2 linked regions of the Coturnix japonica genome follow. The protein of the gene in region 2 interacts with the protein of the main gene of each other region in a pairwise test. Links are inferred from orthologs where the notes say so. Each region holds a gene or a part of one and is shown on either strand. Other genes may lie near its edges.

What was found.
Region 1: the proteins of GRAMD1C (region 2) and CD151 interact in binary tests that used the Homo sapiens proteins (3 or more experiments, as listed by UniProt). The link is inferred for Coturnix japonica from reciprocal best matches to the Homo sapiens genes GRAMD1C and CD151.

Annotation. Positions count from the first base shown.
Region 1 is NC_029520.1:8,907,409-8,924,089, reverse strand, and holds the start of CD151 (CD151 antigen), read right to left. Parts: upstream 10,812-16,681; 5' UTR 10,699-10,811; intron 10,668-10,698; exon of another isoform or gene 10,651-10,667; intron 586-10,650; 5' UTR 469-585; intron 1-468. Other genes in the region: CRACR2B (EF-hand calcium-binding domain-containing protein 4A), read right to left, coding at 15,672-15,753. UniProt on the Homo sapiens protein: Structural component of specialized membrane microdomains known as tetraspanin-enriched microdomains (TERMs), which act as platforms for receptor clustering and signaling.
Region 2 is NC_029516.1:74,438,776-74,454,104, forward strand, and holds the end of GRAMD1C (protein Aster-C), read right to left. Parts: intron 10,835-15,329; coding exon 10,688-10,834; intron 9,862-10,687; coding exon 9,743-9,861; intron 8,722-9,742; coding exon 8,579-8,721; intron 6,902-8,578; coding exon 6,798-6,901; intron 6,090-6,797; coding exon 5,910-6,089; intron 5,100-5,909; coding exon 5,042-5,099; intron 4,539-5,041; coding exon 4,428-4,538; intron 3,661-4,427; coding exon 3,555-3,660; intron 2,662-3,554; coding exon 2,584-2,661; 3' UTR 2,437-2,583; downstream 1-2,436. Other genes in the region: palmitoyltransferase ZDHHC23, read right to left, coding at 105-272, 1,013-1,702, 1,990-2,096. UniProt on the Homo sapiens protein: Cholesterol transporter that mediates non-vesicular transport of cholesterol from the plasma membrane (PM) to the endoplasmic reticulum (ER).

The sequences.
Region 1 (16,681 bases), on a different chromosome or scaffold from region 2:
TGGAGTGGGGGGCAAGGTACAGTTGCTTGGAAAGCCGGACCAGATAACTGCGGCCTTGAGGCAGCTCTTGGGAACTGAACAAACACGCTTTCCTTGGTACATGCAATGCAGCTGTGGGACAGACACTTCAGTGAATTGACTGAAGAACCTCATTCTCCAGCAAGACGAAGCTCCAGCTGTTGAAAACGTGACCTCTGTGTTCAAGTTCCCCCTCTGTAAAAACAATGATATTCCCACCGCTGCTTCACGTACCTCAGTAGATTATTTGTAGAAACGGCCTCTGGCTGTTTATCAACTCACCAGCAATTCTTGCACAGCCCAGAAAGCAGCAAGAAGCCGTTAGATGAAAAACATTCCCAGCAGAGGAGCCCTAAAGCTTTCAGTGAATTGCTCTGATTTACAAAACTACTAAGTTTCATTATCTACCCAAAGTGCTAGCCAACATGGGACAACAGACTCAACACTGACCTTTCCCTACCAAAGCGCTCCACAGAACCACTGCAGATCTTCAGCCCTCTTCAAAAGCTTTTCCAATTGGTCCTTTTGCTGGCCTCAGTCCCCTGCTGGATTTGGGAAAGCAGAAAGCTGAAAAAGAAAGAAAGAGAGAATCATGAATTATGTCAAAGATTATTACGGGAATCAGTATGTGGTAATACGCTTTGTCATTAGGCCATCTTCTTAGTAGAGAGTGCCTGCTTTCAGAAGACATTATGAATGCATTTGATTAAATTGGAAAGTGTGCACTGGACAATGGGGAAGAGTTAGATTGCACTATAAAAACCTCCTAATGGCATGAACCTGCCAGAATGCATTTATATTCACATTGGCAGCACCTTGGAAATGCTGCTACTGCTTCTGTCAAGCCTGTGAATAAACCACAGTGACATCTCACTCTGGTCTGAACAGTCCAGGAACAGCCCCACGAGCAAGTGCTTGAAGAAGACCCATCTGTACAGTGGGGTGTTGTACCCTACGTTAAGAGCTTCAAAATGATCACTGGACTATTGTTCTCAACCCAGGCAAGAGCAGGCACTTGTAAACTGGCATTGTCAGTATACAAGTTTCCCCCTGGAAAGAGGGGGGCATACAATGCCAGAGCTCACTGCACACGTCCATCCTCATCTTCCAGGGTCTAGGAGTCCCTGATGCTAACTTACTTCACAGCCTAAGGCTTAAAGCGTTGTATCTATTGCCCCTCTGGGAAATGGAAACACTAAAATTCCCTGATTTGCTAAAGGTGGGATAATGAAGTGTTTGCAAACCATCTGGGAAGAGAAAAAGGTTATTTCTTATTATCGGATTGAATTCAACACAATTCCTAACCATTTTAACTTCCTATTATCTTCAAGGAGAGGTTCCTTCAGGCCTTCTTCTGGCACAGTACAGACAGCACACAATCACGTATCATCAGCTTGGTTTACCCCGATTCTATTTGCTTTGAACAGGAACGTTCTACTAAGAACCAGAAACCTGTTAATTCGCATTACTCTGTAGCCTCTAGACCACATGAAAAATCTTTTGAGAGAAACAGTGGAAATCCCAACACTCAAACCATACAGCTGTATACCAAAATCCCACAATGAAAATTGGACAAGAAAACTTCTTGAGGAGCTGGGGTGAGGAGGGAAAGCAGAACGCAGTCACCTGCAAAGCAATAGCTCTGATACACCCTTGGTGCTGAGGCTGGGCTGACACAATCCCAAAGCAGCCTTGCTGCAGTACCATTGTTATATCAGCTTCTTGCCGCTCCCACACTCCTTTCCAAAGAAAAAACTGACCCAGGATGCAAAGCTGAATGTTTTGTTTTCCATTACAGCATGCTGGAACATGCTGGAAAGTCAACGTACTTGTGCCTCGGGGGCAGTGGATAAGGCAGAACAGGAGCCAGGCATCCAGTGAGGCAAAGCAGCTTCTTCTCAGGAATTTTCATTTATACTTGGCAAAGGGGAGACACGCAAAACAGACTTGAGTCCAAGGCTCTCCTCCCTAAGGAGGAACTCAAATGAGATTCCCTAGAGAACAGCCTGGAAACAGCCTTTGCTCTCTGCGAGAGAATCTCTGATTCTCTCCTTTCTTCTACTCAGGCTCTAACAGGTTAATTTTGCATATAACCCTCAAAAGACGTAGACCCTCAACTCTCATTTATATGGATAGAAGCCAGGTATCTAATGAAGAACAACGTGCCTAAAGCTGGGGAGACACCTGCTCTTCAGTACGAGCTGTCTCTCAGATCACTTCGCTGTCCCTCTGACTTCTTCCATGACTGTACTGCACAAGGAAGGGAGTTGCCGAAACAAAAATAGCAGTGAGATCAACCTCAAACTTAGCGAGGATATTTATGCTCAGCACCACAGGCATACTTGTGTATTAACGAGTTTTACAAGAGGGCTGGTCAAATCTGGGAGAGACGAAGGCTTGCTGCATGACTGTTAAAGATAAAAGGGACCTTAATGCTAAAATGATTTCACAACCATTAAAAAAAGTTTAAAAAAGAGAGAAGAAGACATTGAGAAAGAGCAATCAAACATGCCCAGGAGTGTGACTATGCTCCGGAACTGTTCTGCTACAACACAAACAAGAATTGCTTGAAACAAACAAGAATTTACAAGGGCTTTCCAGCCCTTGTAAAACATCCCCAGCTCGGAAAGCCCCAGGTCACTGCTCCCAGCACTCAATAACCTGGGGGGAAAGAAAAATCAACCCCTCCAAACACATGGGCTGTGGCAGGAGCTGGAAGGCAGCCCACAGAGCAGCACCCAGCACATGATTAATGGGAACTCCTTCTGTGTCCAGCAACATCATCTCGTATCTAATAAGGCCTCCTTTATTCAGAAGGATGCCCTAGCACTCTACACTATTTACACACAGGAACCACTTCACCAGTCATTGAACTGAGGGGTAGAACAATAGCCGCCTTTTTTCTTTTGCACTCCAAGTGCCAGAAATCAGCAGCTGGGCTGTGTTTGCAGAAAGCTCCCAGCAAGGAGAGTTTGCTGGGATAAGGAACAACAGTTCAGACAGGTCGGAGTTAACCAACAGACATGACAAACCACGTTCATTGCAGCCTACCATTGATGTTATAAATTCTGTTTTCCCATCTCTGTTCCCTGGCACTGGGTTTTGTTCTGCTTTCAATAGCAGGGCTTTGTCTGCGCTGGAGAATTTACCAGTAGCATTAAGCCACCTTTCTAAACAGAAGAGTTTGTGCAGAATCAGCTTTCCTCCTGATCCCCTCCTATTAATTACACTGTCATTTGCAGCTCAGCTCTCAGAAGCAAAACCACCGGGTCCTCAGTGTTTTCATGCAATGCACACAAAGGCTCCCCTCCCTGTCACCACGCCAGTCCTAGGACCAAACCAATAAATGAATTAGCTCACAAATGAATGCTTGGGATTTTAAATGCAAAAACATGACCAGCAGTTTTTAGAAGAGGGGATGGGCGGTTGATGTAACCGTCCCTTGCTTCTCAATGACACAAAGTCCAACGGTCTCACAGCCTGAAAGACTCTTCTATTCCTTTTCAGAGCTAAAAACACTCCACTAGTGCCAGATCAAATATCAAGCACAACCAAGGGCAAATTAAGTGACTTTTCATTTTCTGGAGCTGAGAGCCCAGTCCATAGGAGCTGCCTCTTTTCCAGTTGCCATAGAAGCAATAGTGAAAACACCCAATCCACACTGCATGAGGCTGCACTGAGGAAGGATCATTCTTTCAGCAAAAATCAAACAATCCCCAGCCAAAAATACAACGTTTCTCCCCCTGTACAACAGGCTTCAAGGACTCCACCAGAGCCATTTATGCTGCTATTTTTAGATCGGCCTGCAAACTTGACAGGGAAGCATCAGCATGTGAATAAATAACTGGAAGGAGAGGGCTGTCCTCAAGGCAATTACTTGCTGGCCCTTCGCCAAGGCTGAAGGCAGAAAAGCAGTCCCCAGGCCCAGAGCACACTCCAGCAGGGCTGTAAAGGACACCCTTAGCCATCAGCTAGAGCTGCTCACAGCAGCACTGGGTACTCACACAAAGGTAATCCACGCTGCTTCACTTAAACTACAGGCAAAGGACCGACGGTGACTTCATGAAGGGAGCAGAGCTATCATCAGCACAGACACGCTGGGCTCTGGCAGGTCTCCATCGGTATTGTCTGCTTCAATTGGAACAGGAAGGGGTAAGAAAATGGTAAGAAACCTTCTTGTTCCTCTAACAGGTGTCAGCACACCACGGCTGTTCTTCAGATGCAGCTGAAAAATCCTGCCTCCATCAACACACCTCCAGGTGATTCCAGCACCGTATGAGCAAGCCTTGTTACAGGAACTCTTAAAAGGAGTTTGATACTTAATACTCTCTTCCCCCCCCCCGGGCAGAGCCAATTTTCACATCTAGAGGGACCATATAATCTCATTTGACTTCCCTCTATTTTAAAGGTTATAATTTTAAAGGCTTCAAGTAGTCCATCCTACCTGTCTGGGACAAACTGGATTAACTCTCCAGTACCAGGAGGACTCAAAAAAAACACTTCAAGAAATGGGAGTAACCATCAAGGCCCACATTTCCCCTATACCCCGACCAACTCCAAGGCTAACAGCCTGGGAAGTCAATGGATTTTACCCCTCTAATAAGTATAGTGGCTTAAATTCCCTTTTTTTCCTGCCTGGGAATACACCAGAGGAAAGCCCTGACAAACAGGCAATGAACAGAGCAGGCTTTGTTAGACTCATTCCCTAAGCACAGCACAGGAGCTGAGCAATAACACTTGTACACTCCCCTCTCAGCAGCAAGTCCCAACTGAGAGGCACAGCAGTTAGCAGCCCAACAGTTCTTCCTCCCCAGACATAGAAAGAGGTGCTCCCACACTGCACCAGACCCACCCCTCCTGTGCTGAACGAATTGTATTGACAAGCACAAAGCCCAACACTTCCCCAAACACGTGCGGAGTTTATAGTTAAGAAACAGATGGACCGCATAGGCGGCTCCCTGCAGTCACCCTTGGAGCTCAGCCTGCAGCGTACAGCCACCAGGAAGCAAAAAGAAACATCACCTCTGTCTCCAGGGCAACATGGGGGATGATATGGGGGCACGAATTCCTCCCTTCTGGATTCCACTAAAGCTAAGAAGAGATGCTGACATTCACAAGCCGTGACTCACGCCTGCCTCCTCCACGCTCACGGGCTGGCATGCCAGACATGCCAGCATGAATGGCATCCACATGCTGGCTCCCACAGTGTGCAAAAAGGACTGGATCTGTGCTTCCCCCTTATTTTCCTCTAATGTTGAACTGTTGAGGTCACTGAGGAACAGAGCACTCTAAAAACAACCACGCAGACACTGCTGCTTTTGCTCTGGCAGATTAGCAGACAACAGATCCATCAAGGCTCAAACACAACAGAACCCCCCCCCCCCCCTTCAGAAACTCCCACCCCAGACACCTCTTGGTTGAAGTGAATTTAACCAATGGAAAAGTCAAATAATCCATTGTTTGCAGTCCAGTTACATTCACAAGTGACCAGTTTGCTGGGTGATGTACATAGCTGAAAGTCTAAATAAACAGAGCCAGCACAAGCCTAAAATCCTCTGTGTATATGAGGCTGGTAAGCCATAGTTTGTATCTGACCAGCTGCCAAGCTGTTAACCTTCCTGACTGCCCACAATACCAACAATCTGCTTCCACTAGTGGCTTCTTATGCTTACATCCCTCTAAGGAGCCACCTACACTTCATCGAGCTGACTGCACTGCTACCTGAAACACACCTACAGACCTGCACTGCACTCTTCCAGCTGGCATGGGAGAACCACAACCACCTGAGCAGGCAGAGGAACTGTGGTTAGAAACATGGACCAAGCTGGTCATACCCAAACACGATTCAGACCCCAAACCCCAACTCCATCTGGCACACAGTACTTGGAGTGCAAAATAGTAATTAGCCTCTTGGTGTTTCTCTTGTCTACTTCTCCCACATAAGGGGGAAGTGTTCTACGGTGAAGTATCAGATATAATCTCAGCTCATCCAGATCTCCAGAAGGTATTTCTTCTTTCCAGCCTGTCCCAATCCTTTGACAGCAAAGACATATAGGAAACCTGCTGCATACTTCAGCACAACCACACAGCTTCATAGGAGCATGCACCTTTCGCTCCGCAGCTACAGGGATAAACTCTGAGTACAGATATCCAGGTAGAGCCTGGCAACTCTTTCTGCTGCCCCAGCTCCCCCTGCTCTGTTCTGTTTCCCTGGGCTGCAAAAGTGAACTTTGCTCCTGCATTCAGACCCAGTACAAACAATAGATAAGAAACAACAGCCAGTGCCAAGCGTTTGATGTCACCTATTTCTGGCTCAGCAATAATGGGCCTTTGTCGGGAGAACTAGCAGGAACAACCTGTGGTTCTGAGCGACATCCCTCCTCACACCTCCCACACTTCTCATTTCTGGCCTTTCCCCAGATCTGTTTTGTTTCCTCTCACCGCGCTGCTTCCCACATCCTCACTTGGATGCACTCTCGCCTTTACACTCATGCTCAGCAATAGGTATGATAAGCAACTCAGTGGCAGCCCGCATGGATGCAGCCTACAGTTCATACCATGGGGCTCACTACGGTGTTTGTCTGTACTTTGCTGCGGGTCAAAATATCCAAATGAAGTTATATAGCTGCTAAGCATTCCATTAACCTCTGCATAATATTAATTCCTGATGTCCTTTCCCATCCCTCTAGATGAGCAACACTACCATCCAGCACTGCTGCCATCAAAAAGTGCACGCTATACACACATACATGTGCCACCAGCTACTTAAGTTTACATCCTTTCTACCCCTGGCACATGTCCAGCCAGCAGGGAAGAACCACAAGCACCTGACTAGCAAGAGCAATTGGTGTGAGAAACATTGACTGAGCCGCTCACATACAAACACAGCTCCCACCTCTCTTATTTTGGCATGAAATATCAGGAGGGTAAAACAGCAATTATCCTCCTGCTCATTCTGCTGCCTAGAATTTTATGACGGTATAGCAGCCAGGACTCAAGATTAATAGGACTGATTGAAAACATTCCCCCGGATGCCAGGCTGTTGAGATCACAGGCAGAGGAGCCTGACAGGCGGGAAGGAGCAGAGCACTGCCGAGATGCTCATCAGTGCTGCTATTACAGTGCTGATGTCTGCCAAGAGCTGGCAGCAAATGTCTTCTGTGCCCTCAGGAGGGAGGGATGGTGCAAGGTGCTCTCCACAGACCTGACAAATCACCTCATCTGCATCCTGCAGCCCTTCTCTTCCAGTTTTTCCCTCTGCACTCGAGCTTCAGGCACAAGGAAAGGGGAGTTTCTACCAGATTGGAGTGATGGTCACTGCTCTGGGGGAGAGCTCTGCCAAAGCGCAGCCTGCTGCAGCAAGAGAAAAACAGTGCTCAGAGTTTGAAAGGAAAGGTGAAGAAGAGAGAAGGAAGGAGACCTGGTCTTCACCAGAAGGATTTAGATTTTAAACAACCAGTTAGACTTGATTGCTATTCCTCACAGCTAAGGATGCACTGTAGTTTTCAGGAGACAACCTCCCTCCAGTCTTCCAACCTCAGCTGTTGGTACAAGCGGTCAGGGAGCAGCTGGAGATACCCAGTGTCAAGTCCAGGAGCAGAGATGCAGCTGGGGAGTGCAGGAGGGTCTGTTCATGAGCTTTAAAGAGACAGATTGACAAAGCCACTAAGGACAGCAGCAGTAGACTGGAACACGAAACAGCAAAGCTTCCCTTTTTTTGTTTTTCACATTTGGTACTTCCACATTTTATCTTTCAAAGCTTTATTCCTAGGCAGAAGGCACAAGAAGAATCACAGGAACAGCATGATTGCATTATGAGAGACCTGGAAATGCCAGACAAGATTGTTTGAAACAGAAGCCAGGCTTCACAGAAGCGAATTTACCAGTGGTCAACCAACTACAGGACACAGTGCTCACAAGCCTTGCAGGGCTTCCTCAAAACAAGAGAATTGTTCCTTGGTCTGTATATGTGCAAAGAAAACAGCCACAGATTTGTACTATACTTATATAATACACTATACAGTATACTATATTAGTACTAGCTGTGAATAATATGGAATGTTCCTTGGAACCGTCTTAACAGATAGATACCATGCCATCAGCCACCCCCACCTATAGCATTTTTGCTTCACAAAGGGATACAAGCAGCTTTCTTCCACCCCCTTGCTGAAGAATCTCTCACACCCAATGGCAAAAATTTGAGGAGGCCACAACACAAATGTCCTTTGCAGAGCCAGGACTTGGACAATGTATGCTTTAATGTACTCACAAAGAAGCAACATGGAGCGTAAGCCAGCACAAGAGCAGTATGGCAGCACTCGCTTAAGGCTGGATTAGTCGTCTGCTGTTTGGAGGAAGAAAAGGGGCCATGGAAAGAGAGAGGAACACAGCAATTCTGCAGACAAGCAGGAGCAACAAAGGCAGTACATGGCAGGACAGCGTGCCAAACTGTGCTAGCAGGGGTCACAGCCACAAAATCTCACACTGATCAGCAGAGCTGCTGATGCTGCACAAGCTGCAAAGGGTTGGCAGTCAATGGGACTGAAGTGAGGCAGTTCATCTCCCCCGTGCCATGCTGCAGTCTGACAGAACAAGCCATGTTTTGCTTTTAGTAGAACTACCTGGCAGCAAAAGGAAAAGCAACGCTGCAAAGGGCTGCTGCTGTTCATCCTACACAGCGCTAATGACAGCACAAATCATTGAGCAAAACCCTGAAGGGCAGGAAATGTGGTCATGTTTATCTCAGAGACTTAGGCCAAATTGCTGTGCCTGTTTCCTGCTCGCTTTCAAACTGGCACGGTGCTTTCCTTCTGCATAAGGCTGCACAAGCCAAAGTACCTATGAAGGATCTTTTTTTGAGTGGTGCTCTTTGGTAACTCAGAAGATGGATTCTGTAATGGGTTCAAGAGAAGGAGTGCCACAGCTCCAATCAGGCTATCAAAGCTCCTCCTACTCAGCGCTCTGCTCTTGACATTAAAAGTAAGTCCTCCCATAGTACACCTGCCTTGAGAGAAGGGAAATGTGGTTGTTAAGCACACGCAAAACAAAAACATACAGCAGGAAGGACTAACCAGTTTGGACTCCAGAGTGAAACATGAACGACTGTCACACATGGGACATTATTCCAAACAAACAGAAAATATATGTTCTTATTGTTTACTGAGGCCAACGTAGAGCAGGGACTGCCAGGACTTTCACCAGGCAACTGAGACCAGTGATTCTCCCCCATTACAGGACTCTACCAAGTAATTAGGCTATTATTTAACAAGCATTGAGTAGCTGATTGAAGTTTCAGAACAAGATGTTTTTGCAGAAATATGGCATACGGACAAAAAGATGTCCATAACAGGAACATGAGGGCATCAGGACACTACAGAGCAAGGATGTAACATCAGGATACTTACACAGAGGAGCTCAAAGGCTGCCAGCTGCTCCCACTCACAACCCAAGCTCTCAGCAAGGATATCTGACTTGAAATACCAGCATCTTTGAGCAGCTATAGAGAGCCAGAGCAAAGACCCACACATGCAGGACACCTCTCTTTGACAGGGACCTGCCATCAGATGCCTCCAGTAAACTCTAAGTGATGCTGCCTCAAGTATTCCCAAGCTCCCTTAGTCATGAAAGCCTGGGGCTATGCTAGGAAATCAGACCCCAGTTTATGTTAAGGACTACCAGGCACTCGCTTTAAGTGAACTCAGTCACCTCTCATGCCCAAGCAGTCCTGCTCAGCCTGTCACTCATTTTGCCCATGGCCAGACTTACTGAGACCAAAGTCGCTCAGTGCTGAGACATATTTGAAGCAGTTCCTTTCCTCTTCACCTCAGCCTGTAACAGCTCAAAAGAGCCACGCTATGCCCTCCTCATCTCAAGCAATCACCGTTTGATAGCAGTAATAGTCAAGCAGGACGGAGAAGGACGTCTGTCTGAGAGAGTCTCCAGGTACACCCAGACAGCATCTATAGCACCAAAGATCCCTTAGGAGCCTAAGCAACAGCCTCACCCATGGCAATAGAAATGTGTTTTGACAAAAGGACTTGTTTCAAAACTGGTTCAAGAAAATGGCTGCCCCGGTCACCAGCTCTGGTGTGTGATGGCATTTAGTGACCTCCTGTTCAAGCAGACACCGCTTGAGCTCTTATAGCAAGAAAGGCAGATAGGGAGATGCAGGAAGGGCGCTTTAAGGGATGCTGTGGGCTAGCCTAAACTTCTAGCGCTAAGTAATTGTCAGAATACAGCAGGATACTGCAACAGGTTGAGCATCGATGTCCTCGAGAAGAACCAGACTCTACTTTGCTGTTAAACGTGCGGCAATTTGCATTCTTTGTAAGCAAAGCCTACCGGGAGAGGGACACACAGCACAGCAACAACCTCAGCAGCACCGATACAGCTCCCCACGTGCAGGCAACGGGACACCGCCTGGACTCATAGTCGGCCCCGCCGTCCCCATCCTCTGCCTCGAGCAGCCCTACAAGTTTAACTAAGGGCAGGACACGAAAACACCTTTCGAACTGGAAAAGCCTGCGGGAAGTTCTGCAAAGCCACAGTCGGCCCTCGGAGACCACGGCCACCACACACACGCCGCCTCCCCCCTCTCCCCTCCCCGTCCCACACGCCGCTTCCCCCTCACACCCCGTCCTTCCGTCCGTCCGTCCGCCATTTCGGGGCTCCCCGCCTCACCCTCAGCGGCAGCGCCGCACCGCCGTGCTCCGCTCCGCCTCGAGCCCCGACCTGCCGAGAGCAGAGAGAGGGAGGGAAAGGAGCACGGCAGGAAGCGGGGAGGGACGGGATGAGGGCGGCACGGCACAGCCCCGGGACGCCCAGCGGGCGGTGCCTCGGCAGCGAGCCCTCAAGTACGGCCCGCCCGGCGGCTGGCGTGGGCTGTGGGTGCCCCTTCGGCTTTGAGAAATATCATAAAATAAACCACTTTTACAGCAAAACAAAGCACCCCGAATTGTGTCCACTTGCAGTGCCAGCGGCGCGGCCCTGGAGCAGCGAGCTCTGGCTCCCGCCGCCTTTACCTCAGCCGCCGTTCCCATCGCCGCAGGCACCGCATTGCGAACAACGCGAGCTCTTCTTTTCCCGAGCCTTTCCCTTTTTAGAGGCGTCCTGCACATCGAGATCAAGCCCTGACTGGCGCATTGCCTCATGCTTCCATTACCTCATTGCAACTTCAGTCCAAAAACCGCAGTTACCGGCCCTGCTGGGGTCTGTAGGAAGGGAGAACCCACCTACTCCCCTCAGTGGGCTTACAGCTTTTTAGGGTGAGAGCTGAGCAGAGAGTAAGGGAAAAGGCCAGATGAGGGCCTACGGGGTGTTGGCCTCCACTGGCTTAACTAGGGACCCATGTACCCAGTCACTAAATAGAACCATTTCTGTTGGAAAAGTCCTCCAAGATGACTGAGTCCATCTCCCAGCCCATCCCCACCATACGCACTGACCTCATCCCTAGGTGCCACATCCATCCTTTCCTTGTACACCTCCAGGGATGGTGACTGCACCACCTCCCTGGGCAGCCTGTGTCACTGCATCACCACTTCCTCTAAGAAATCTTTCCTAATATCCAACCTGAACCTCCCCTGGCACAACCTGAGGCCATTCCCTGTCATCCTATCACTGTTACCCAGGGGAAGTGACCAACCCCCACCACACCAGGACCTCTTGCTCAGAACTGCGCAAATGCAACCTCTGTAAACATTTAATTAGCTATCTCTTTACCTCAAAAAAACAACTAATTTTATCTAGCCAGTTCTACTGTGGCCTGTTCACTTCAAAAGAAGCAAGCAGCTAATCTTCTGTTCGCAGAATCAGGCTGTATTAAACTGCATGGCTTGAGATGTCTAAAGTGTGCCTTGGGGGCCCAAGGAGTCTGGAGCCAGATTATTGTAGCTGCACCAAGTGAAATTTCAGCATGGCTCATTAACAGGCAGATAAGTAATGAGCAGACTGACAGCAGCTCAACGAGCTACCAAAGTGCTGAACTGCAGTACTGTGGATCTACTGGAGCCAAGAGATTTTCAAATAAAGTATTCAATATACATCTATATCCAGACATGAAGCGTTTGTTTTACATACGGACTAAGTAATTAAGTAGCAAAAAGAGAGAAAAAATATGAACAGTAGAGGGTAATAGAATAGAAAATAATCCAGGAGAGACCCAAAGGGACTGATTAAATGTGTGTGGATGGATCTCTTGGAGTTTAAGCTGCTGGAATAAAGTGGCTCTAGGGCAACTGGCGAGCCACTATGCAGTTGTGAAATTCCTATGTGCAGCACCTGAGGAACAAGCTTGCCTGGAAAGAGCAAAGGCACCCCATAAAGCCACAGCCAAAAGCTGGGTGCAGATGCTTTGTATCACTGATTGATGATGAGCCTTTGCAAGAAGGGTCCTGCATTGCCCAGTTTCTTTCCAGGCACTGTGTCAACCCCACTGAGCCTCCAGCCACAAGAAGGCGGTGCTTGAGATGGGTGGAAGATGCTGTCATGTCCCCAACGTGTTAAAGTAGAAGCAGTAGTGTTAATACAGCAGAGATTCAGGATCCTCATCTAACCTCTTATAGGGGCTTTTTCGCAATACCACTGATCATTCCCAGAGCTCTCCTGCCTGTGTCTCACCTGTCATAGTCACAGGTACAAACACACATCCAAGGCCTTTGCACTTCCTTCATTCGTCCCGTGGGAAAGCTTTAAACTTAGCACCACAGCTTAATGCTCTCTCTTCATCCCTATTTTGGCCTGCCAAAGAGGTGCTGTCAGGCTAATCCTGTTATGTTTATCCTTTGCATATTAACATGAAAGAGATGAGTGAAATGCAAGGCAAAGGAGGGTCCCCTTGTCTGCGTGCAAGAGCTTTGTGGGACTGTGGGGGCTTGTCAGAGCAGCTGGTTTTTTTTTCTTCTTTGCTCCTTGCCCGATTGTATACACAGCTGCACTGCTGCATGTGCCAGGATAGGCTTCCAGGCTGTAAGAAATATACTCTCTTTATAGATTACATGCAAAAAGTCACCTGTCCACTAAGAGACTGCAGCCAATGCAGTGCAGCAATAAACCCTCAGGCAGTCTGTTTTTCATCCATTACATCCATTTTCATCCAAGGGCTCTTCTGCTTCTGTTGGTTGTGAGTATCTGGGTCTTCCAATAGGAAATGTAAATACTGTCCAGAAAACCACTAAAACACCATCACACCATCCAGTATAAAACACACCCTAGTGCTGACTGCTGTCCAAGTGCGTAACCTCTGTGCCACTTTTTCATAGGCAAAACAAAAGTTCACCCTGTTCCTGCTAAAAAAAGTCATAGCGCGCTACTTCTGGTGCTGCTTGTTTACAGCAAGGGAAATGAGTAATAATTTCTGCGGCCAGAGCTATGGATAGACAGTTCTGTAAGGCAGTGACGTATGGAAATAAATATAGAGCATGAGGACTAAGAGCTATGGAACTCCTTACTGGTGAACAGGATGCATGAGCGTTATTAAATATGTCTAGTTCTTTAAGCATAGATACAAGGAGACAGTGTGCTGTGTTTGAAGGCTCTGGGGAAGCATCTCCTTAGTTCCCTCTGCTCTGCCTTCCCTGATCATCCAGATCCTGGCTGCTTTAAAGAGAAAAGAGATGACAGCAGATGAATTGCTCCTGTGCTTCTCTGGAAACAAGTGTTTCTTGTCCACTCCTTGCTTGTTACTTAGAAGTCTCCTATATGTACCAACACCAGGAACAGACTTCTCAGCCCTTCCTGAGCACTACATGCTGCAGCAGGCAACTCAATCAAGCGAGGCTGAATCTCTTGCAACTCCTGAAAAGAAATTCAACACAACCGTTTGCACGACAGTATTTCTTTATTGCCTGCACACTCCTTGCCCGCTAAGAAAACATCCTCAAGACTGTACATTAAGGACAACCAACCAAAAACAAACAAAACTAAACACGTGGTAGTTCCTCCTGTAGCAGAATGACAGTGCGGAGGAAGGTAATTACCACATACTGTATGGTACCTGTGTGCCAGGTGTGTTTTACTTCTTTATCTTTCATGTGTTTTTTTTACACAGTGTGGGAGTGGCGCATTCAAACCATGTTAGCAGATAAGATACCACGCTTGTCTTCTGCTGCAGCTTCCAAACTCCTGCCCAGCTGTTGCAGGTAAATTTTGGTGTTATCCATGTGCCCAGACTTCAGATGTCAATTCTTATTGCCAGCCCTTGTTAACCCACCACTGGAGCACGATGCAAATGAATCGTTGACAGCAGCTCCTCCGAGTCAGCTAGTGAGCTGTACTGATGTAGCAGGTAACAGTGTCTGTGCTTCTTCATGGTTGCATTGGTTAGAATGCACAAAATCCACACCTGCATTTGGGCAATCATCTGGTACAGGGCAGTCTAAAGGTTTGTGTTTTCCAAGAACAGAGATTTCACTTCCCAAGCATCCTTGCAAACACAGGCAGTTTCACTGGCAGCACTGCTGATGTTACCCTAAGCTCAAAACCAACAGCCCTAGTTTCTTCAGGGACCTCTTATAACGTACTATTTCCTGGTCAGTTAGTGCAGTTAAATCCACCAGCTGTACAACAGCAAGAATCACAGTCAGCAGTAAGTACTGAGCAGACACTTAATGCTTTTGGCTATTCCTTTAAATCAGGAACCTGGCTCTTCCACAGAGAAGCTTCCCCTTCCTTACCAGAAGTAAATGGCACTGGGAGGAACCATGGAAAGTCTGTGTAATGCAGCAAGTGATTCAGAACACTTTTCCTGCATGGAATATTCCCAGAGAAATTTGTGCAGTAAACAGCTATTTGGAACCAGAGTAATCGCCTTATCCCATGAGAGGAAAGAGTGGATAAATACAGGCCTATGCATTTATGTACCCATTGCAGCTGAGGCAGCCGCCTCATGCTTCCAGCCCAAGTACATTTCAAAGCATTGCTGTCAGGCCAGCAGGGTGGGATCTGTGCATATTTCAGTACTGCGGATACATCCACTCCTAACTGCTGAAGACCTTTCAGGAAAGAATAAAAGAATGGGAGGAAACAGGCAGCATTCAGCCTTAAAACAGGCTACACATGGCCCCAGCAGATACAGCACAGCTCCCACAACACGTTATGGAACAGCAATACATGCCAGCACAACAGTTGCCTGAGAGTCCCAAGGCAACTGCTCTGTGTTCTGTGAACAGTACGAGGAGAGTAGCTAAGTTCATTAGGGTAACAGTGAAGAAGGCCAGTGGGATGAATGGTTTTAGCAGTTCATGCTATATCCACATATGGAATCAGTTATCCACAATGTTGGCAAGTCAAACCAGATTTCCCACCAAGTACAGAGCCTGATCCAGATCTTACAAGTACAGGCAAAGGTTTCCCTATCTACCTCAGCAGGCTGTCAGCTGGACTGTGCTGTTAAAGAACAAAGATGCTGCTGCCAAATTCCCCCAAGAGATCAGAGGCCTCCAATGACCAGGGCTGGACATGCAGGTAGGGAAGGGAACAGTAGAGATCGTATGCACGTTCTGCCCTGATTCAGAGCCTTGAAATTCCCAGATGGGGAAAAGTTGCAGCTTCCCTAAACCTCTGCAGATCAGATACCAGCAGATTCAACTTGCTCAGAAGGAATCCCAGCTTCATGAAATGGTGCCCACACTTGGCTCTTGCCGACATACCGATGCTCCTTATGTGCAGCACCCTTTCCTCCTGACATCTTCCAGCTGCAGGGCGTTCTCCCTCTGCCTGTCCTCTTGTGCTGTCAGCAACCTGGAACAGGCAGCACAGATCAAGAACAAAATCAAACTACTCAGCTCTTCCTGCAGTGGCATCTGACTGTGCCCTTTGCTCTCCCATCAGCCATCAGGCTGTTTAGGATTGTAAAAAGTGCCCAGGCTGCCTCTGGCAGCTGAACAAGATAAACCACACACAGAAAATGAGTGTGAATTTCCAAAGAAACAGGAAGGAACTGAACATGGACAAGAGGGAGCAGCGTGGTGTACTCAGAACACCAGACTGAACACGAGTGGCCTGAGACTTGTTTCCAAGCTCCAGCACTGATGGTAGAACCTCAAGCTGCTCTCTTCACTTCTCTGAGCAATGCCTGGCAGCAGCACGGTAATAAAATGAGCTGAAAGCACGTGCTATGGGAGACAAGATTTATCTACTTAAATCATCACAGTTAATAAACACCGAAGTCCTGCTGTGAGCTTAACAGAGGTGATACAGCAGGAGGGAGAGGGATAAAAGAAAACAAAAAGGATATTTTTCTTACAAGATTTCAAAGAGTAAAAAAAGAACAAACACAAGTTCTTTTTGAAAAACTAAAAATCTTAATGCAAGCTTCCTTCAGCTTTATAAGGTGTTTTATCCTTCCTTGTCCTCAGCAATAAACATATTACTTCCAAAACATTGCGTTCTGTATGGATGAACCGCTCCTTAGAGATGCATGTAGATTGCAAATAGAAAATGCCAGCTTAAAATTTGGGATAGCACACCAAGTTTTGTGATGTAATATTCAAGTTAAACTCTTGATCTTTCAGCAGCCAGCTCTGCCAGAGGAAGACTTGCATGTGATGACATCCAGCCTATGCTTGGTACTCTCCAGCCACAGAAGACAGGGCTGTGGAGTCAGTGTGGAAGAACCTATTGCTCCAGGTCTATTTACTGACACAGCATAAAGTCAGCGTCTGACAGC
Region 2 (15,329 bases):
ATCAGGCCTGACGGCCAATAGCACTGGTCCTGAGAACACAATGAAGAATAGCTAAGGAGCTAAGCTGCCTGGTCAGGTCTGAGTTCCCCACCCAGTTCTCTCACCTGTAGTCAGAATAGGCCCCAGGGCAGTAGAACAATGCTGTGAATGGGGTTCGTCCCCTGCAGATGGTGTCCAGAGTTAACATAATCCCGTACAGGGAGGTGAGCATGAAGAACAACAGTGCAAGGATGAATGCATGGTGGTTCTGCTCCCCTACACAGCTGTTAATCCTACAAAAAGGGAAAGCAAAAAAAGATTACTTCAAGGGGAGAGAAAAAATACGTTGGCTTCTCTTTCCTCTTCCCTCCCCCAGCCACCAGAGAACCTGATTTCTAAGGTCTCTCTGCAACACAAGAAGCTTCAAAGCAGCTTTATAGCTTTTTATAGAAAGCTTCTAAGCACAAGTCAATAGACCAGTAAGGTAGGAGTGGGCAACTGTGTACTCCAGCAACCTGCAGGTACCAATAGCTGAAACACTCATACCTCACTGCTCCTTGGTTAGAATATTGTAGCAATGACAGCTTTGGGTTCCCCTACATAGATCGAAAGGGCTGACAATAGCAGGACACGGGGAAATGGTTTTAAGTTAAAAGAGAGAAGATTTAGGTTGGATGTTAGGGGGAAGTTCTTCACTAGGAGAGTGGTTAGGCCCTGGAACAGGCTGCCCAGGGAGGTTGTGGATGCCCCGTCCTTGGAGGTGTTCAAGGCCAGGTTGGACGGGGCCCTGGGCAACCTGATCTAGTAAATGTGTATGTTTGGTGGCCCTGCCAGGCAGGGGGGTTGGAACTACATGATCCTTGAGGTCCCTTCCAACACGGGTCATTCTGTGATTCTGAGATACACAGATGAAAAGCAACCCCACTTCATAAGATCTGGGGAAAAAAAAAAAAAAAAAAAAGAAAAAAACCCACCCAACTTAAAAGAAAGAAAAGCAACAAAAAGCACATGCCTTTGGCAAAGCCAAACGTACCAGACACAGTGATGATCCAGTCTCCTCACACACCTGCCGCACAGCCGGCAGTGCCCCGCTCGGGCCGGCCTGACCAGCTGGCACTTGGCACACCAGTCCATTTTCACACCTTCCCGCCCCTCAGCCAGCGCTCTGGAGTGGCCTTTGCTCTCCCCATTCACAGAATGGCCGCTGGCAGCAGCTCCATGGAGCCCGTTGGAGCTCCCTCGTACATTCTTGCTGGGAAAAGCCTGCTGCGATGGCTTGTCATCAGCCGTCGAGATGGGAAGGTAGCCAGGGTCTTTCTTGGCTCTGGATAAAGCCACCAGCATCAGAATTAGCCCACAGGTGAGAAGCGCCACTTGGGAATACCCCACGTGGCCTCGAGGAACCACCTCCTGGAGAAAGACATAGTACATGTAGCCCAGGGAGAACAGTCCCAGGCTGAGGAAGAAGAGAGTCCGTTCCTTCCTCCTGTGGGTGAGGTAGTAATACCACAGCACCACGGCGGGGAGCGAGGTCAGCACCACCAGCCCCAGCAAGAAGTGCAGAGCCGCGACGTGCAGGAAGACGGGGAGCAGGACCATGGGCGGCACGAGGCTGACGTTCACCTTCACGGCCCCGGCAAACCACGGCACGCGGCACCGGTCCGCGATAGTGTCGGCGATTCTCTCCAGCGCTCCGGGGGGCAGCGACCTGCAGCTCAGCCACCTGTTCGGGGTAAAGCGAGGCGCATCGCTAGCGGCCGGGCGGGCAGACGTGGGTACCTCAGCGGCATCCCCAGCCCTTGAGGCTCCCCGCTGACTCACGGCCGCTCGCCCCTCTTTCCTCCTTCACCTCAAGGGGCCGCAAAGTTCCCCGACGGCCGACGAGAGCCGAACCGCCGCTCTACACCCGCCTCCCATCGGCCGTATATAGAAGGCAGCCCTGTGCTCTGAAGGAAGGAAGGAGACAGAGCGGCTCCCGACCGGCCGCTCCCACAGCCCCGAGGGCGCTACCTGTCGCAGGACTCGTCCAGCTCCTGGCAGTCGCAGCAGCACGCCGCCAGGTGGTTCCGCTCCCCCCTGCGGTCCACGTACTCGCAGCAGCACAGCGGCTCCTCCATCTCCTCCTTCCGTGTCCCGGCCCGAGGGCGCGGAACCGACGGAGACAACGGAGGGAACGGAGGCAGCGGGGCGCGGCCGCCCCTCTCCCGCCCCCCTCTCCCCGCCGCAGGTGCCTCTCGCTGCCGGCCGCCCCCGCCTCCCGCCCCGCCCCGTCCCTTCGATCCCCCCCGCTATTGGCCGCACAACGCCCCGGCCACACCCCGGCGCGGAGGCGGGGGGTGAGGGACCCCCTTCCCTCAGGGCCCGGCCACCTGACGGCGCGGCGGCCCAATGCTGGAGCCGGAGGGGCGGGACCGACGTGACGTGACGGCACCTGGCTTAAAGGCACAGAGCAACAGGTGGAGGAAGGCGGACGGCCCTTTATTCCACCTTTATTCCACAAAGTAGAAAAAAAATAAGAGTCCGAAGATGGTTACAGTCCCTACTTCACAAGTCCTTAAACACACGTCTTCTCTTCTGAGGTGCCGACATTAACTCTCATGGGCATTAACTCTCAGTCTTGCTGCTCTGTGTCTTGTTCAAGTGATCGAAGCTTCTTTGGAGCATGGAAAGGGAGAGCTTGAGCTGTGAAAACAAAGAATTGGGGAGCATGATGCGTTAAGTCTTTGCTCCTGCCCCTTGCAGCAGCCAAAGGTGTTTAAAAAGGCTAATAATGCTTCAGAAACTGGAACTGCTTGGGTAGCAGGCAAAGAAACCCAAAAGGTCACAGAAACCAATTCATTTCTACAGTGAAGCAGCCAGCGAGCTGTGATCAAAAGAGTTAACAGAGTAATAGCAATTCTGTGTGCAGAGACGTCTAAACAAGAAATAGGGGGGAAAAAAAAGTGTTTTTCTCTACCTTCCTGTAGTGTGTGGGAGAACACAGAGCCAACTGCTGATGGATAGAGGTACATGTGAACTCCCCCACAGCTTTCCTCATCTATTAATTTCTTCTGCCATATTTTAAGATTTATTAAAAGAGCTAAAAACCAGAATATTCACGGGTTGTAAATACAAACAGCATTTCACTGAAGGTTTACGTGGCTCTTTGATGCCGTGATTAAACAAAAGCTCTCTGCAATAGCAAGGAGGAATAGCTCAGATTAGCCTGCATGAAGAAACCCAGTGATGAGGTGAGCAAGTAGTTACGTTCTGAGTCTTGAGAATAGATGATCAGTTTTGAATAATTCCAGTCTTGCTTTGTCATGACTCAGAACTGCATCAACAGACCCCATCAATAAAGGCACTTTACAGGTTTAAGAGAATTGATATGAACGTTTTATTTTAGTCCCATGAAAGATCCATCAGAAACATGAACGTTTCCTTTGCATCAGATTCAAGCATAGGACAAAACTGAGGCCAAAGAGGCGTGGACTTTAGTTAGTATCACAAAACATTAAAAGCTATTCTGGCATAAAGGAAAAAAACTTGAGCTGTTGAAAAAAATGAGTATCACAAGGAAAGCTGGGCAGACTTACCTGCTCAAGCATTTCAATTGAGTCTCTTAGTACTCCCTTCACGTGTTTAACCTGTTCCTTATCATATTGAGGGATCTCCTCTTTCGATCCCATTTCTGGGGATATGCTGCAAGAGATTGAGATTGCATCAGAAACATGAAACAAGCACCTCTGTGCCTTTCTATCCCAAAGGAGTTGCTCTGTTACCATTACTCTGACATTGCTAAAAAAACATTGTTTCCAAAAGCCACAGAAAAAGGTGCCAGCAGTTGATTTTCAGTTCCTTTTGACTTGAAGATGCTGCCTCAGACCTTTACAGACAACAATCACCAAGAACAAATGTGCTCACATAAAGCCTGCAAATCTTTCTATGAAAGAAGTCACTCCTATCAGTTCTGAGACCTTCGCAATGGGAGATCACCATAATCATGACCAGGTTATGATTTATGCAAGTAGTGTAGGCAAATAAATAACAAGCAGCAACTTCTGAGCCTATTCCACGTGCCTGAAAGTAAAAGGCATCTAACACGAAGTTAGAAGGGGAGAGGGAATTTTGCATAAAAGCAGAAGCTAAGTGAATCTTCAGCGTTATATTTGAGATCATGCTGGTTCACACAGGATGAAACAAGTAATTCAGTTCTGTGCTCAGCAATATGATATTCACAGCAGATGAGTCACAAGAAGGTAATAAATGCAAGCTATGGTTAACACTTTACCAAGGAAGACGCAATCAGACATGTCACTAGACATCAGCATAGACCACAGAACAGTAACAAGTCATAGCAGCTTTTTAGAACTCACCACCAGGATTTGTTGTTTGAAATCTATTTCTTTCTATCAGATTCTGAAGTAAACTGAGGGAGAATGAAAGCTAAGATTGTGAATTCCACTTACTTCAACGAGCTCTCTTCCTGAAGCTGGACGTGATAGAGGGACTGAGCTGCATGCTCTATCTTTGACAGCTTGAGAAACAGTGTTATATTTAGCAAAACCAGGAGCAGCAAACTGTAGAGACCAGAAACATGAAGTCAGACAAAGTTTATATTATTACTGTTACAGTGCTACAGAAGGAAGAGCTGGGCTACAAACATCTAGGGAAAGAAAATCCTTCTGGGCCAAAAGTAACTGCCCCAGCGCTATACTGAATTTAAAGATTTATCTAAACAATTCTTAGCAATTAGCTTTAAGCTGTGTAATGCAACCTGTAGGAAATGACAACAGTGCCTCCTCTTGGACCTCTTAGAGGTAGGAGTGAAGAAATGTTAAGGATTTTTTGTAGGATCAGACATAAGAGACCTGAAAAGTGGACAAGCTTGATAAACCAGCATTTTAATTCTGTGTGTCCTTTCTGAAATCAATCCACCCCTCTCTTCTAATTCCTGTATTTACACTCCATATGGGTTAGGATTGGTTGTGCTACAAGAAACGTCAACATGCAAGTGAGGTAGGTACAGGCAGATAAAGACCAAGACAAGTTAAGCCATGTTTTAATGCAAGTAAGTACTTACAAGACACTCATTACTACAATGATGGTAGTGGTCCTACTAATAGCATCTCTTTTCCTTCCTATAGGGCATGGAAGAGAAGGTGGTTAAAAAGAACTGAAGAACATTTCTAATGCATATACACATCAGTGCTCAGCATTTTGTACAGTATAGCGTCACAGCTTCTGATGGACATAACAGAACACTTGGGTGCACAAGAGTCTCTCCAGAATTCACTTGATGCACTTGGTCACTTCTGTAGCCATCTCAGGCTGATCTCCTAAACAGTTCCTTACATTCACATTCCTTGTCCTAAATGAGGAACATGTATCAAAGCTGCTGCAGCATACACTGAGAAATACAATCTCCAAGGCAGAGCAGGAGTGGCAAAATTAAGCTTTCAGGAAGTAATCTCACCGGAGAACAGTGGTACAAAATCCACCATTCTCTGGTAAACATTAGTGAACCAGATGTTCCCCATCTCTTTAAGCGTAGCTAATATTGTACATGCCTGTACAATACAGAGGCTAAGTCTGTCACGCTTAGCGGCACAAGTACTCCAAGAAATGCTTCAGTGACCCAGAAGCTAAAAGAAGAGACAGAAAATGGACTCTTTAACATTACCAAAAAATGTAAATTTTAGCATTTCACTCCATTTTCATATCAGAGAAAGTAGGATTAAGTTTGATTTCATGACATATAACAACATAATAGCTGACTGTGTGTGTTCTTGGTCTGTTTTATGCAAGGCTGAACAGTCTACACATCTTCTGTCACACCAGTTAGATAAAGACGAGAGCAGCATACGCACAAGCACTTATCTTGCATTATTATAAAAGTTAAAATTTCTCAGGCAAACCTTACAGAAAATAATGAACGTAAGAATTCCTACCTATGATGCTACCCTGGGACTCTAGCCCCATGTCACCAGATGAGTGCTGGGAAGAGCGTTTGGGAAGTGATTCTGCCAGACTCCGGTGTAAAGTGCGTCGTCTTCGCCTCAGGGCGACTAATTTTCCAGAGTCTTCTATAGACTGGTTAATTGCATACTCCTCCATTAGCAGTTCTGATTCTGTAGTGGAAAAATAAGGTTCCTGAACTTTGGAAAGGAACATTGAAAAGCCTAGCCCTAGTGACTTAAATTGTAAGTGATATATATATGTGGTGGTAATGAGAAGAAAAAGCGCATCTTCCAGATGAACTTAAATCAGGTAATTGACATAAACCACATCCCAACCTACACAGTCTGTCCTCTTTGCTATATGGCGCTTGTACACTTTTCAGATATGATCTATATTCAGTCTATGCAGGATTGTTTAATGACATGTTAAGCAGCAGTTGGAAGAACACTTCAAGACACTGTTAGACTGAGACTAAGAATTGTGTTAGACTGCGAGCCAGCAGCCAGAGCTTGGCCAGGCTGTTAACAGACATAGCCAAGGAGCCTGCCAAGTGCCACTACTCTTCTTCTCATACCCACAAGCAAGGAAATACTTGTGTTAAAGACAGGGGCACACAGTTGAGAGTAACAGCTTTCCTCCCGCTCCTCATGCATCCTTCAGAAAGCAGTTGCTGACAAGGTATACAGGAGTTTTTGGCTACCACGGCTATTTATGTTTACACACTCCAGAATTGACAGGTATATTGATGACAGGAGATTCTTTTGTATGCTGCCTTCTTTTCAAACCATTATTTAAAGAGTCAAGTTTGACATACGTGAAAAAACACAGAGGAAAAAACGTAGCCTCCTGACTTCAGTAATAAGAAGAAAATGCCTCACCAAGTTGTTTGAAGTTCTCCTGTATCCCTCCCCAGGTGTTCTTCTCGATTACAGATTTGACAAGGCCCCAAGGCTGCTTTTTGTACTTTACTTCTGCAGAAACCCTAATAAACAGAATGCAACAGTGAAGAAAGGAAGAAAAAGGAAAAGAGGGAAAATACACAGTGCATTGTTAGGTAGCACAGTGATAGTAGAAATCTCTCTTCAGAGAGAAGCCTCCAGCTTACATCCATTGCCTGAAATATACCTGAAATACCAACTGGAGCTGTCTCAACTTTCCACCTGAGCAGCTCTCACACTGAAGTGAGGCGAGAAACAGATGCACGCAAAGACAACATACCCAGTGAAAGCCTCAGGAGATCTGAATGTCCAGATCACTGGAAAGAAATTAAGTTTGTCTTCTCTTCAGGTTCAGAGTTTCTCAACCTGAATTTCTCCTCTGTGAACTGTTCTGATTTTAACAAGCATTTGAAATAGCCCTGCAAAGCCCCGCTTTTTACTCTGTATGCGCACTCATGATATAATATGTGGGGCACAGCAATATGAGCATGTGAAACTCATCACTACCAACTACGCATCCAGTACTAAGAACCTACCTTGAGTAGATAAATTAAATTGTCTCTAAAGGAGCACAACACAGGGAGAATGGCATTCCTGATGTGTTTCTCAGGTTATGCTGGTCAGTAATGCTTCTAGAATGGAAAAGCACTCAACTAGAACCCTGCAGAGGGCTGCTTCTAACAACTGAACAAATCCCAAAGCTCTTCATAAAGGGACCAAATTATAGTCCACAATCTTTATTTATTAAAATGAAGAACACTAACCTTACTGGAATACACGCTTCTCTCCAGCTTTTTCATTTAATCATCCCAATCAGCATATGCATGCCAAGCTCCTACTCTAACAAAACAGCATATTTCAATAAATTTCTGAGCCATTCCAAACAGCATAAAGCCAGCTGTAATACTAGCATGCACGTTCTGTTCGATATAAGCATGCTACTTATAGTCAAACCCTGGCTTTTGCACTTATCCTAGGGTTGTCTCGTGCCTCAGATAAAACAAATAAAGCCATCAAAAAGGAGTAATGACTCACTCAGTCATTCAGAGTGGCTGTTCAAGGACTTTTCCTTTTTCAACCCAGTGGGGGAGGGAGTCTTCAGTACTTTTATAGCCAAGGATAAGCCAGAAGGAAAATTAGGCTTGCTTACCTTTCCTTACCTTATGTTCTGATGAAGTTTGAGATAAAAAGACTTGAAGAAAAACTACCAAAGATAATACAGTCTGTCACACAAATGCAGTGGACAAGTAACTTCATCACTTCAGGTGTTTTCAACAGGAGAAGAGAAGGAAGTGTCTCAAGTCTCCTCCACCTACCCTGATAGTAACAACAATGCCTAATCTGCTTGAATTGCCTCTCTGTAACAATGAGTGTGCTTCTTCACCTTGTAAAATCATTCTCCCATGCAGGCCATTAGCGAGGGTATCTCAAACTTTGTTAGAAAATATCTGGCACAGTTCTAATTTATCTCACTTATATGACTGCACTTGAAACCATAAGGCTGGGCAGAACCAGCCCACAGCCACAGAGATCATCTCTTATTAGTGTAAGCAGACATATGACAGGAGATAAACCAAGATTTTTATTTACTTTTTTTCCCCCAGAAGAGATTTCCAACTTCAATAGAAAACAAACCTTTTCTGTGCTGCAGGAAGATCTTTTGGTAAGCACATTTCAGCAACCTGCTTCCTCCCCTCCCACTGCACACCACTCAGGCTCACCGTAATCGACATTTGTGACTGGACGTGCGGCTGATGTAGTATCGGTTCACAGTGTAGAAATAATCATGGTAGGGGACATCGTGGGTCAGCACCTCAGCATCCACCTGATAAGACTGACCTTTCTGGCTCTGCTTATGCAGGATCTACCACAAAAGATAACAGAAAGGGATGGGTATATTCTGTATTCATGGGTTTTATTTCATTTTTTTTTTCTTCATTTCAAACCAAACTGCTTAGAACTGCTGGATCAGCCAATTCTAAGTGAACTGGAATAGATAGAAAGACCGAACAACTGTGACAGAAGTCTATTAAGAATGGTAAGAGTAGTGAGGTGGGATGTCTCCAACCAGACCCAGCACAGGAGGTAATAGTTCACCATTCTTCTTCTCCACTGACATTTCAAATACCAAACGCAAGACTGGCCACTGACTCTTGACCACAGTTCTTTGGGATTGAGCTGTGAGCTATGTTTCCCAAGCCATAGGCACAGAAATATTAAGGTTAGATCTGGTCCAAGCCACCTGTTCAAGCAGGGACAACTAGAGTAGGTTGCCTAGGACTATGTTCATCCGGCTTCCAAGGAAGGAGACTCTATAACTTCTGTAAGAAACAGAGGTTTGCTTTTGGTTTGGCACCAAGCACCACTGAAAAGAACTTGGCTCCATCTTCTTACTACTCTTCCCTCGGGTATTTATGTACATCAACAAGATTCTGCCTGAGTTTTCTCTCCCGCAGGCTGACCAGTGCCAGTGCTCTCAGCCTTTTTCCCATAGAATTACTGTTCCAACCCTTTATCTTCTAGCTCTTCACTGGACACTTCCCAGTAGCACCACCCTCTCTCATACTGGGGAGCCCAGAACTGGACTCTTGAATGCACTCTGTTTCATCTTTTCTGACTGCTCTAATTCGTACAACTGGTCAACACTGCTCTCCCCAGAGTTTTCAGTAGAAGTTCAGCCATGTTGAAGTTCAAATGCCCCTTTGATTTAATCAGTACTTATTCAGTAATAGTGAAAGGGATAAAAGAACACCTTCTGAGATATTACATTTGAATTGGAGATCCACATTCAGCTCAATGAACTCCAGCCCATGATCAGATCTGACAGACTGTACAGCTCTCCTTTGCTCAAATGGCACCAAACAGACACACATACAGACAAGTACCTGCTTCTCAGTTGCAGTCGTAAACTTCCCACAGAGTGGATTGTTAATTGTTACAGTGTATGTCAAAGTCCTCAATTGATTGCCACTGGAATCTCTATTCCAAGGGGTTGATACAGCATCTAAATGACAAATTATGCAAATGCACATGCAGGTCACCCAAAAGGCATCATCTCTGCCCTGTCATACCTTAAACTGCAGTTTAAGAACAGTGCAGAGAGGGAAAATAAAAGCAGACTTCAAGCAGTTAGTTGTAGTTTTTCTTTATTCCTCCAGGAAAAGGGAAAACTGTAGTTCACTAACTGAGCAAAAAGTGAGTCAGTAAGTAGCTGAATCTGAGTCTAATGAAAGAGGCTCAGGGTGCGGAGAAGAGTAAGCAAGTAAATGAAAACGTGCTGTTTCCCATCTGCTTGGAAGTTCAATAGATTCACTTAGCAATATTCAAAAGCTTTTGCAACTTTGCCTTCCAAGCTAATACTGAATGAATATTACCCTTTTAACTTAGTTTTCTTACCTTATTATCTCAATGAATAAAGCTTACTCATCCGGAAAATTAAAGCCTGCAAGTAACATTTAAGAGGCTGCAATAATTTCATCTGTGCGCCAGCAATACAGATTTTACTATTTCTGGGACACAATGGAATCAGAAATACCCCACAGAATGCAACATTTTTAATATCTTACTCAAAATTCAGGCATCAAGTGCAGGGCTTTTTTTTTTTGTTTTTCCTCTTAAACACCATTAAATGAAGTTCTAATTCAGAAGCACGATCGATCTACAGAAACAAGCTAGCTTTTAATGTCTACTTCCACAGAGGAAATACAGAGCTGCAAAATTCTTTTAAAGCAGGAGGAATAAAAATCAACTCAGTTCTCCTTAACATTTCTCAGAGGTTGAAATTTTCAGGGTAAACTGCAACACGGACAGAAGGAAGAAGAGTACATTACCTACTATGCTCCTGGAATTGAGAAACCTCTGCATGAAGTGAGAATTGGTGAAGAGGATTTCGAACATCTTGTCTGCAGTGATGTGGAAAACTCTGTTTATAAAAAGTCTCCCATAGAGATCATTCTCAGAGGCAGCCTCCTTCACTGCTACAGAAAGGCAGAGGGATCAGGTTAAAAAAATAACAACAACATTATGAAGTTTCTTCGTAGCATTAAACTTTATTACAGCTCAAATCCTTTCTAATCTTGCATCAGTAATTGCTTTTTATTCCCAGAAACCCAGAAATGTCAGCAACACATCATTTTGTAATGAGATGGCTTTCAGGAGCAAAGTCAAGAGCTGGTTTTCTAGACCACTTCTCACTATTTCCTTATACAAATGACTTGATGAATCAACAACGCAAGGTCCTATCACTTGCTGCTTGTTGGTTCCTGGAATGGCTCTGCTTTGTGCCTGTTTCAGCCACTCTCACAAAACATACAGAACAGAATTGTTATCCTGGAGGGAAAGCAGTTTCCTATGCCAACCCCAACTTAGTCTGCTTATGCTTTAGAAAAGAGTCCATCCTCAGCTATCAGTGAAGAAGAAAAAGCCAAACAAAGCCTAAAATCCCATCCCCACCAAAAAGCCTGACAATAAATCTCATGGAAGCAAAAGAAAGATAGGACACCTAACCTTTCAAATGATATAAATAAACACCCAGAGCAAGCAAAGGTCATTGCCAGCACACAATGCAAAGGTAGTCTGAATATCATGCTACAGTTCACAAAGTGCCCATAGGCTAAGGTTACAGCACTTAAATCGCTATTATTTGGTAGCAGTCAGTATTGATAAATGCAAGTACATCAACTAAGTACCGAAACAGAACTCCTCAGGGAAAACCAGTTCTGACTCTGAGTGGACTTCAGCTCTAGCACTGCTTCTAGCCTGCTAGAAGTCCCCATTACATATATACATGTCCCCAGAAAAGGTAGCAGGTAGCTAGAAGTTCAGCTTCAGTTTTCAGCTTATGTTCAGAATTTCCCCTCAGAGCTGAACCTGCCAAAACACAAAGCAAACTGTCTGCATGACCTCAGCTAACGAGGCCCCAACACTGCAGACCTCCTACCACAAAAAGCATTCCCCACTTCCCACCCTTTGCTAAGAGAGAGGGGAAGCTTCAGATGTGCTGATGCCTCCATTGATTACTATGCATCAGCTAATTCATATGGAGCCAGACAGTAGCTAATCCAAAGACCATCTTTTTATTACTTTAAGGTCTGTACCTTGCTACTGAAATATTTTTCACTTTAAGCATGAATCTCTCCTCCTTATACTAAGGCTCAAGCTAAAGAGCATCCACGGGTCTCATAATGCTTTCACTTATGGATGAATTTCTGTTAGCTGGTTTGCCTACACCTACAGCCTGGACACCCTTGTGATGGCCTGAAACATGCATGTATTAACACCCGAATTCCACACCAGCAGCAGCTGGTCAGTGCAGGTACTGAGAGCTTGACAAGTCACTTTCATCTTCTTAGAGCACCTGCAGAAATCCTCCACGAAGCAGTGAGCACAAACAGCAACATAACTACAGAATAAGTATGTACGTTACACACTTGCAATCTGGACAGAACACACAGCTCAAATACGCTCTTTTGCTACAAATAGAAATGCATGTTTGTCTGTTTCCTTTGGTTTAACTCATAGGTAAACATACCTACTTTTTATTTATCACAATTCCAAGGCAACGTCAAGCAATTTACCTAGAATTGGCTTAGAAATACTATTTATAAAAACATTTATCTTCTTGCAAAAATATCAGTCTAATCCCTTAGCCTTCAGTGCTGTTCTAACCCCTTAGCAGTATGCAATTACCAGCTGTTAACTCTCTCACACTGAAAACATTTATAGATGAATTGGAGATACTGTCTGGTAAGATAATATGAAATTACTCTGACTGCGGGTTAGGATCCCAGGGACCCAAAAATCCAGAAACAAATATTACCCTGAGTATCCTTGTTCTAAATAGAGACAGCAAACCTGCTCCCTCCCCCACTACCGCCTTGCACTTTGTAAGGTCACTTCCATCACTGCAAGGCAAGCTTGTGAAATACCGTTTGCATGTAAAACCATTACGCACCAGGGATTGCAGAGGTTTGAAAACATCTGCAGTGTGAGACAAGGAAGAGATGGAAAACTGGAGGGGAGTAGGGGGAAAATGGCCCAGGAAAGAAAATCCTGCTCATTGATTTCCCACTAATAACCAACAGCTTGTGAAGCTAAATACATGCTGCAAGCAAATTAAAGCTGAACCAGTAAGAACAGAGGCTATCCAACTAATCACTGAGACTTCTAATTTGTTCACTCTGTGGAGATGAGGGAGGGTCAGGGGAAAAAATAAAGTACATACACAGCTCTTGGCACTGCCTGGGATTTCGGTGCCCCTGGGAATAGGGGGAAAATTGCACACTGTGTGAATAATGTGCAGGTCAAAGACTTAAAACAGGCCCACTTCAATAGAAGTCAATAAGGCCAATTTTTAGACGGAACATTTTCCAGACACCACCTATTTAAAGATTGTGTAGCAGTGTTTGGCGTTATAGTAGAATTCTACTATATTTTAAAAGACCAAAGTGTTAAATTAACTTAGAGGAAGTACTGAGAAATATTGCTATCTTTTTCCTGCTCACAAGATAAAACTTAAACCTCTCATCCTCAGATATTTCAGAACAGATAACTCTCCAAACACCTAAGCAACAAATTATTAGTAGCTATACATTCAACAGAACATGTGCTCTCAGGGTTTTAATTACAGTGTCAACAAGGCAACACAACTACCCTTCTGTATACAAGGCTGTATATCCAGAATTTCACCTCTTGAAAAGAACAGGGCTGAAATAACTTCAACCAAACTATTTCCAACATTTTCTGCACCACGTACCCCTATCTGCAGGAGAAGTTCAACCACCATTGCACCCATCTCACAGTGTTAGTGCACAAGCAGTTATGCTCTCCTGCAGACCATGCGTTTGAGGTGGCTATTAATACACATAGAAACAAAACAGTATGTACAGTTATTCAAGAAGATCAGGAATTTATGATGTCCCCACACACAGCAAATGCTTTCTACCACAGAAGACCGTTTCCCAGCATCTTATTGCTCCCTTCTTTGTATAAAGTATTTTATGCTGCTGAGCATTGTAGCCGCATGTAGAAACTCTATATACAAAGAAATCCTTTGAGGAAACTCAGAATCTGCTGCTTCTATTTTGGTAATACATATTCTGTGCTTGAGCTAAAATTTATCTTCTGAAACATATAATTGAGACTCCAGATATGAACTTCTAGTTCAGCCAAGAGTTTGTCACGACTCAAACTTTATCACACTAATCTATGTAACCAAACAAGAGTGCCACGATACAGGTAGCAAAGCCTGTGGTGTACAGGGTTAGACTCCCTTTCCTAGTATGCAATGTGAAAATTGCCCAGGATGAGAGAGCTACTTGCCAAGGCTCTGGCATTCCATCTCCGGGTGTCAGGTGAGCCTGAAATTAGAGAATAACAGCCTTGAATTTGCTCTCACCTTATTTGCCAGGTCACAAGAGAGATTAACTGCATGGGTAAACCTTTGCCGTGTGGGTAAGCTAATTTCATCTGCATGAAGGAATTCACCTTGTAAAAGTATAGGGCAACTGCGATAGGAAACAGACAGGAAAAAATTCTAGGCATGAAGAAGGGAACCTGTGAGAAAAGATTGATGCTGTGTAACTTGAAAATCCTGCTCTGAATAAAAGAGACATATGCTGGGGGAGGGTGGAGAAATAAAAGCAGTGTAAGTTCAGTTCTCTTTTAAAGAGACACCTCCAGTTTCTTATGCTCTCTTTGCTCAACATCAGTTGCAGGGATGGCAGCTGCTATTTGCTGCTATCACTTAGGCACACAGTCCTCTTGTCTTTGTGCTGCTATTTTCAGTCCATTTCATTGGATACCTTTACTATAAAAAAACTCCAAAGGCTGAAAGAGTACAAAGACAACAGGAAAACTGCAAAATATCTCAACGCCAGAAGGCTGAAGCTTTCTGCAGCCTTACAGGATACAACTGAGACTGAGTAAACAACCTGTAAAGCTTGTTAAATATGTACAGGATTAAGCAGCAAATTGCTCAAATACACAGACTCACAAAAATGATACAGCTTGACACGTATTGAGTTGAATTTGAACTCGAGAAAACAGAAACAGTACTGGTGAGCAAAAGGAAAGCGAACTGAAATATAAATATGTCCTCAGGCAAAGATCACAACTTGACAGTGGGCCAATTCAATCGATTACTCTGAAAGCTTTCCTAGATACCCCACTGATCCCAATTTAACAGCATCTGCAAGCACCTTCAATTGTCGACTCTGAAAAAACAAGATGTGGAGTTGTTCAGACAGAACTTTCTGCCAACAGGTGATGAAAGTTCCTTCTCTGCATAAGAAAGAAAGTTAGCCACATATTCCGAAGCTGAGCTCTTCTGTCCTTCATTTGCACACACGTCACTGTCATCCAGTCTGGGTGCAAGGCACGCTCTGGCCTTACTCTTTCCCTAGGACATGCAAAACCTCTCACACCCATGAAAGCATGAAAAGTGAACATCACGTTGCCAAAGTTTTTCATTTA